Nothobranchius furzeri: one gene and its partner. The protein of the gene in region 2 interacts with the protein of the main gene of each other region in a biochemical or structural test. Links are inferred from orthologs where the notes say so. Each region holds a gene or a part of one and is shown on either strand. Other genes may lie near its edges.

Region 1 (4,078 bases), on a different chromosome or scaffold from region 2:
ATGGCTTTGATCCGCGTGTGACCCCCTAAAAGGAAGTTGTTCCTACTTGTTTCATCTCTTTTATTCGTGTGTGCAAACACGACCAACTCTGTGCTGTTAGGACGTTTCTTCAGGATTGTTGCACGTCTTTGGGTCACTTATTGTGAAATGCTACTGAAACCTGACAGCACATTCAGTTTGTTTTATAAAAATGACCCCAGCTTTGATCATGTTTTCCAAATACATCTGTTCATAAATGATTGAGTAAAAAAGGCAAAAAATAAAGGTTTATTTTTGCTAAAATACATAAAGCAGTTGTGTTTATTCACGTCCTGCACTTTATTTAGTCTTCTGTCATTTTTTTAATTTGTTAAATTGCATTTTAGTAAATCTCGGTTTGAGTTTGGACAGCAGACCTGAGCTTAAATCTAAAAGTGTTGCAGTTAATATTTAAATATTTGAATTGAAAATGAAATAAATCTGGGTTGTAGTGGATACAGACATGAAGGCAGCAGGAGGTGGAGCGGGTTGGCGGTGTTGCAGGATCGATCTCAGCTCCTGGCAAAGAGTGCTGCTGTTGTGTCCTTGGGCAAGGGCAGCTGTAGCCACAATGTAGCGCATCATCACCAGCTGTGAATGTGTGAATGGCTGATTCAGGTTCTGGGACTGGTGCCAGATTAAACACAGGCCATTTTCCATAAAACACTTCCCACCTAATTACAGAGCTTAGACACTGATGTTAGGTCAGTGAGTCAGGTCTGATGGCTCACAGGAAACCATCAGAAGTATTTAGTTTCGATATCCGAGTGCTCCGGTTTGCAGGGATTTTCTACATTTTAAATAATCCAAAACTTTATTTTGGCTCTTTGAAAATAGTTTTGGGGAAAAGAAAACTGAGGCAGAACAGGGACGGAAGGACGGCCAAACTCGGACCTCAGACAGAGTTGATTGAATCAAAAATACATCAAATCCAAACATTTAAAAAAGCAGAATTCTGAAATGATTCAAACGATCAGATAGTTCTTGGTTTTGTGTCGGAACCAGTCTGGGGGTGGTGAGCAGGACTTGTTGGGGTGTGACTCCTGAACCCCTGAGGTCCTCTAAAGCCCAGCTCCGTCCCTGTGGAGCTTCAGCCCAGCTCCTGTGGGCGAGGACGCGTCTCGCCTCTCCCTGGCCTCCAGTAACACGCCCGTTTGGCCGGAGACAGTCCCCTAGGTGTCTCACTTTCTCTCTGCTCGGACTGGAGCGCCGCGGCGGCCGCCCGCCCGCCTGCTGCTCGTCTGGCTGCGTTGACGTCAGCGGCGTGTTGATTCGCTAAGGCGAGAGAAGAAAGGAGTTAGTGCGTGTTGAGAGAGCGGGTACTGCGAACTGCCTTACTATGCTGTAGCCCCAGTCCCCCGCGCGCCACACGGACTCCAAACCTGCAACTTAGGTGAGTACCGACACCGGACACGCGGCTGCCGCTTCCCGGAGACAAGTGCCGGGCTCGCTCCTGCGCGCGCGTGTGCTTCATTTAGCGGACTTTCATTCACCATATGGATGTTTTGGGTGCGTTTGTTGCGCTCGTCCTCGGCTGACCTTCCGGTTTCATGTGCGTTTTCGTGCTGAAGTTACCAGCGACTTGGCAGTGGGTCGCGCGCGCCTGAGCGAGTCCCGGCTGAAAACAAGTGTTTACCTGATTGCGCTGCAAGGTGTTAAAGTTTGCATTAACGCACGGCAGCCTATTGCGGAGGCGCTAGGGTTGACGTAAGCCCCCTCCTCGCGCTCCTGTCTGGTTAGTATTCTGGAGAGCGGCGAGAGGACGTGAGGTCTGGCTGTGTTCACCGGGAGCCAGGCGGCTCGTGACGCCGCGCTGCGTGTCCCTTCCACGGACCGATGGCAGCGGTAAAGCGCGCGTGACGTCCCATTCCTATCCCCTCTTATTAATCCGCGGTGTGACATCACGGCGGCTCGAGACAGTTGCACCAAACCAGCGTGACTGCGCTGTCAGAGCGGGATTGACTGACAGCTAACTACATGTTTGATTAGTTCCCAATAATCGAGCTGCACGCGCCGCGCGCGCGCGCGCTGGTAACTGATTCAAATGGATTTGTTATCGAATGTGTCTGATCCTCCTCTTCCCCTTTCACTCCTTCACATCCTCACCGAGATGTGGAGCTGCCACCTGCACGCAGATCGGACCGGAACCAGGCTCGCGTGCACGTTTATGACCACCACACCCCCCACCACCAGACCATAACAACGCTCCCGCGCCTGGGGTCCGTCCGTGCGGCTCTCGCGCTGGATTATTGAACGCTGTTTATTCTTGTTGTGGCTGCGGCTCGTCAGTGCGCGCGACGGCAGACAGCTCGTGATCAGATCGATTCCGATGCTTCTCTCTCTCTCTCTCTCTCTCTCTCTCTCTCTCTCTCTCTCTCTCTCTCTCTCTCTCTGAAGTCTCTTTATTTGCTCGTTGTCCTCGCGGGACACCATCTCCACCGGCTTAATGTACTTAATGTAGTCTGCTGATTTGCGTAATGCTCGTGTAGAATGGGTCTGCAGCGGCTGGCCCAACATCCGCGCGCTGTCTAGACGCTCCTCTCTATTAATGGAGAGCAGACACAAGTGCCTGAATGGGAAGTTTGGGCTGCTCCGATGCGCGCAACAAGCACCGATCACGTTCAGGGACACAAACATTACTGATGATAATGTGGTGCTGGAGGCGTGAAGGGGCTGATCTCGGTTAGATGGGGACCTGTGGGCTCATCATTAGTGGTTTTTATTTATTTGGTTAGCCTGATGCTTTTTCTAATCTAAACTCGCAGCTCTGAGTAGAAAATGACAGGTTTGTAGTCATTTTTCTCCCAAGTTTTTATGTTTCAAGCAATAATTCAACTTATATATTTTATTTTTCTGCATATTTTATGATACTCTCATCATGACATTAAGCACTTGTAAAATCCTGCTCTAAAGTGTTAAAGTTAAAGATGAAATACACCGATTCTGATTTCTAAGGCTGATACCTTGATGATTTTATCTGATGATACTCATTTTTTTTCTCCAAACCAACTGAGACCCAGTCACTTTTTAAGATGGACCCGGTCATAAACCTGATTACGTCCATGGTCTCCTGCGCCAGAGCGAGGAAACAAGAAAAATGACAGAATTTCCATGTAAACTGCAGTCAGCTTTAAAACGCTGAGGATGCATTTGCACGTTTCTTTTTTGACTAAAAACTGCTGAAAAGTTTCTGTCATTGCTCATGAAGCTGACTGAATCAGTGAGTTCACCCAGAATGTGGGTCAGTTGAGGTGGTTAACCAGCATTCATGCTTTCGTCCTCCGGTGGGGCAGACCATTAAACCAGACTAAACCAGAAGCAGCCAGAGGCGTCTATGTTTTACGTCCACGTTCTGCTAATTCAGTCTGAACCTGTCCTGGTTTATCTGGCGCGGGTCAGACGCGCTCCAGTAATGAGGTGGAGCAACACGTTGCCCTGTTAACGTGAATAATGAAATCACCAGCAGCCACAGAGATGTTCATTCATTTGAGATTTCAGCGGCTGAGAGCCGAGCGGAGCGTTTAAGTGCAGCAGTGCTTTTTGCCTCATCCTGCTTTTCTCTTCCACCCCTGTCTGGCCGCTGCTCTCTGCTCCCGTCTGTGATGGGAATACTGAGTAAGATGCTATTTAATGTTGGGAAGGCTGCTGACGGTCCCTGCGAGCCAAGCAGCAGTGAAAGCCCACAATGCTCCCTTGTTTAACTGCACGTCCCCGTCAGATAAGCAAACGAAGACATCTTTTAACGTAACATATGTCAGGTTGATTGGTATGCAGGATGAGCCTGTTGGACAGCTAACAAATCGTCTCCCTTCAGAAAATACTGTCAATACTCGGCGCTGGTCTCCAGAACAATGCCGCTGCACAGATTGTTTACCAGCCCTGCAGGATATTTGCAATTTGAGACTCCAGCGGCTTCCCGTTTTTCCCGTTTACATAATAAACCGGATCCTTTCATGGTTAAATAAATACACATATTCTATAACCGGTAATTGAGCTGATGGTTCTGCAAATATGACAAATTGGCAACACTTGTTGACTTTAAACACGAATGGTTTTCCTT
Region 2 (4,035 bases):
ATGGAGATAAAACATCAACGTTGCTGTTAGCCAATTAGAGGAAAAATGTCCAAATATCAGGAAGTAATCATCCTAATCCTGCCTGTGAAGCTCCGCTCTGACGTGGCTCTCTTCTAGTTCCTGAAACGGGTGCGTTCATTCGTAATAGACACCGCTGCAGATACAGTTTACATGAGTAAACTACCACTTTACTTTGGGTGAATAATTTGTACCACATGAAAAGTACTTTTTCTTTCTTTTATTCAAGTATTGTATCATAGCGTATACAGATAACACCATACCTGTTTGGTATCGACTTTACCAGGTTTTAGTGCATCATACATCAGCTTCCTGCTGCCTGTGAGGAGACGGATGCACGCACAGAGACGAGTTTCATCAGGACCAAACCTGACCGCTGCAGCCATCCAGGCAGGGTGGTGTGAGACCAATATCCTCTAGCTTCCTAGATAATAAAAGTGTGTGTGTGTGTGTGTGTGTGTGTGTGTATTTGTGTGTGTTAGCGTGTGTGTGTGTGTGTGCGGATGTGTGTGTGTGTTAGCATATGTGTGTGCGTGTGTGAGCGTGTGTGCATGTGTGTGAGCATGTGTGTGTATGAGCGTGTGTGTGTGTGTGTGTGAGCGTGTGAGCGTGTGTGTGTGTTTGCATGTGCGTGTGTGTGTGCGTATGTGTGTGTTAGCATGTGTGTGTGCGTGCATGCATGTGGGTGCGTGTATACAGGTGTGCGAGCATGTGTGTGTGTGTGTGTGTGTGTGTGTGTGTGTGTGTGTGTGTGTGTGTGTGCGCGCGTGTGTGAGCGTGTGTGTGTGTGTGTGTTTGTGTATGCATGTGTGTGAGCGTGTGTGTGTGTGAGAGCGTGTGTGTGTGTGCACCAGTCTAGTCCACAGAGAATTCCAGAAATAGACCACGGATGGTGAGACTCTCGCCTGTTTTTCTCTTTTTTTCCCCTCTGAAGGGATTTCTCGTTATTTTTTAAATCTCAAACCCGTGTTTGTGCTGATGTCTGTACACTTTATGCTCAGAATGTAAATAGATAAATAGGTGTGTGTGTGAATACACGGACCAGGTGCTGTAGAACTATAAATGCTCACAGGATGCAGAGTGAGAGAGTTATTAGTAACAGATTTAGGAGGAGGAGATGGATGCATGTTGATTGTTTTTGTGCCCCCCCCCCCCCCCCCCCAGCTTTTTATAGCCATGTCTTCCCAGGGCTCAGCAGCTACAAAAGCCTTTTCATGTTGCCACTATAATTACAGCCTACACACACATGGACATGCATGCATACACACACACTCGCTGGAGCAGCGTCTTTGTGTTGGTGTGTGCGTGCTCTGCATGTGCAGTTATACACAAAAGGGTGAGCTATTTTTACCTCCCTCCCCTCCCCTCCTCTCCATCGCCTCCTCATCCCTCTCTCCGCCGCTGCTGCTAGCCACATTTGCTATGCTGAGCACAGGCGCTATCAGTCGAGCGCCAACATCTCTCCAACTCGCTCACAAGCGAACACACACACTCACTCTCACTCACACACACCAGCTGACGAGCGCTCCCTCTGAATCCCGGCTTATTCTTTAGCTCCGTCCGAGCATCCCTGCAGACGCGCCTCAGCGTTTGCTGCTCATGGATCAGGAAGCAGCTCAGGGGCTCGGAGGTGCACAGCGGCATGTGCTCTCCACCGTGCAGATGACCTGAAGCCCCTCTCTCTCTCTCTCCCTCTCTTTCTCTCCCACCTTCTCTCTTTCTCTCTCCGACTGGTTTTAACCGCCTGATTAGCAGGTTTGTGGCTGGAAGCCCGGCTCAATGCTGCGGACCATCTTTGAAGCAGAATGCTCTCTTTCTCCCACAGAGGGAATCCTGGGAAAGGAGCCGCCGCTGGAGGTCCTCAAGACGTCGGCGCTCAACCACATCCCAACAGGTTGGTCAATCTGTGTGTGTGTGTGTGTGTGTGTGTGTGTGTGTGTGTGTGTGTGTGAGTACGTGATGTTACTATCAACCACATCCTGTGTGACTTTGCTTTTTGGATGTGAGCGAGCCGGGGACACACCGTCTACTTGACCAGGAGACACCATGTTTACATCCCCAATGTTTTATTTAAGCCGCTCCGGTGCTGCCATTTTGCTGAATGAAAATCTGGAACTCCGAATGTTTGCGCGCACGCACGCACGCACACACACACACACACACACACACACACACAGACACACACACACACACACACACACACACACACACACACACACAGCTAAACAAACCCATTGTGCCTCTCAGTCAGTTCCTGAGTCCGTTTAATGTTCCCAAAACAATCTCTTGCAGCTCCCAGTGCTATAAGTTCCCATTCCCAAGTATTCCTGAATGCAGATCCATGTTGTCCGGTAGAAATTGTACAGGAAAAGTGAGGATGAGGAGAGTGGAGCAAAACCAGAGGGGCACAGATAAGGAAGGATAAATTGGTGTTGGGATAGTGCATCCCATAATTCTGTAATAAGGAAGCTTAAACTGCTCCCAGCTTTTGGTTTTTTGCCTCCCAGGATGGTTGGGTGAGTCTAATTCCTAATTCTGACTCCCAGACAGCAGCCAACGCTCCAGCACGCTGCCGTTTCTGCTCCTAGGTTATTTTTGTTTTCACTTCCTGCTCCTGCCTCCGGCTCAGCTGATAAAATATTGAAATCCACCAGAGCATCTTCATCTGATATTCTCAGAATCTGTTGTCTTGGCTACGAAGCTGCTGGGTGGCATGTGACCCGGACCGCTTCTCCTGCACGGAGAGGAGGGTGAAGCCATCTGGGAGTCTTTAAAACGCCCTGCAGGTGAGGATCACACCTGCAGAGGCCTCCTGAACTTTAGCTCTGTGTGTGTGTGTGTGTGTGTGTGTGTGTGTGTGTGTGTGTGTGTGTGTGTGTGTGTGTGTGTGTGTGCGCACTCCCAGCACGGATCCTTTGCGTAACGCCGTTGTGTGATGTCATTAGAAGGGCGACCACCCCCCCGCCCACTGCAGCTAAAACCTGATTCTACCTGGACAACAGATGAAGTGACTGTTGGCTGCAGGACTTTTCAGAATGAGCCCTCATCTGTGCCACATCCATTAGGGCCTAAGGGGCGGGGCTTAGGCAGTCGGACCGTGGGACCCGGGCTCCACGAACCGGGCCTCCAGTCAGAACCGCCAGCCCTCGACATTGTCTGGTATAAATAGATTCACAGCAGGAGCCAGAAGAGTTGTGGAGAGCGCCGGAGGGGTCGTAAACAGATTGTGATTAGTTTGTGGAGTGTGTGTGTGTGTGTGTGTGTGCGTGCGTGTGTGTGTGAGTGTGTGTGTGTGTGTGAGTGTGTGTGTGTGTGTGTGTGTGTGTGTGTGAGTGTGTGTGTGTGCGTGCGTGCGTGTGTAGGGGGGGGGGGTATGAAGGAGTGCAGGGGTGTGCAGAGGAACCCGCTGACAGGAAAGGTCGCTGAGTTAAAGCAAACGAAAAAGCTGTCAGAATTCCCTCTGAAGGAGATTCCTTTGAATCCCGATGCCTTTTAGAGATTCCCTCTGATCCACAAACGCTCCGATCAGACTCGCAGGAGAAAAAGAAAGTGAAGCGTGTGGATTCTCTTCCCTCTGAGTCTGAGCTAAATCAGGCTGCAGATCAAAGAGGATCTTTTTTTAGACCCCCCCACCCCCCACCCCCCCACACACACCTGTCATACAGGTAAGTCTGCCCGTTGTGTAATGTCTCTGGAGCCCCCGCCCCCCGTTTGGGTCGGATGGCGGCTGCCCTCATGTCGTCCTTATCTCACACACATCAGTAAACTCCAGCTCTGGCTTGACGTCAGTGCTCTGAGACAAAGAGGTGTTCAAATCAGAGTCTATCTGTTTATCAGCGAGGCTTCTGATTGGCTGGGACGTCTGCTGTGGTAACAAAGTTCAGGATGTCTTCAAAAGCAGAAACATCTTCTGATTGGTTCTCATTAGGGACTTTAAGACTGAACCCTCAGGCTCATCCAGACCGATGCAAGGAGCCCTTCGAGACAGAAAAGAGACATTATGAGAGCAAAGGAACC

What was found. The genes of interacting proteins can lie anywhere in the genome.
Region 1: the proteins of histone deacetylase 4 (region 2) and zbtb16a form a complex in vitro, tested with the Homo sapiens proteins (2 studies listed by BioGRID). The link is inferred for Nothobranchius furzeri from reciprocal best matches to the Homo sapiens genes HDAC4 and ZBTB16.

Annotation. Positions count from the first base shown.
Region 1 is NC_091750.1:30,173,812-30,177,889, forward strand, and holds the start of zbtb16a (zinc finger and BTB domain-containing protein 16-A), read left to right. Parts: upstream 1-1,278; 5' UTR 1,279-1,411; intron 1,412-4,078. UniProt on the Homo sapiens protein: Acts as a transcriptional repressor. Transcriptional repression may be mediated through recruitment of histone deacetylases to target promoters. May play a role in myeloid maturation and in the development and/or maintenance of other differentiated tissues.
Region 2 is NC_091754.1:47,244,973-47,249,007, reverse strand, and holds the start of histone deacetylase 4, read left to right. Parts: upstream 1-1,235; 5' UTR 1,236-1,797; coding exon 1,798-1,912; intron 1,913-4,035. UniProt on the Homo sapiens protein: Responsible for the deacetylation of lysine residues on the N-terminal part of the core histones (H2A, H2B, H3 and H4).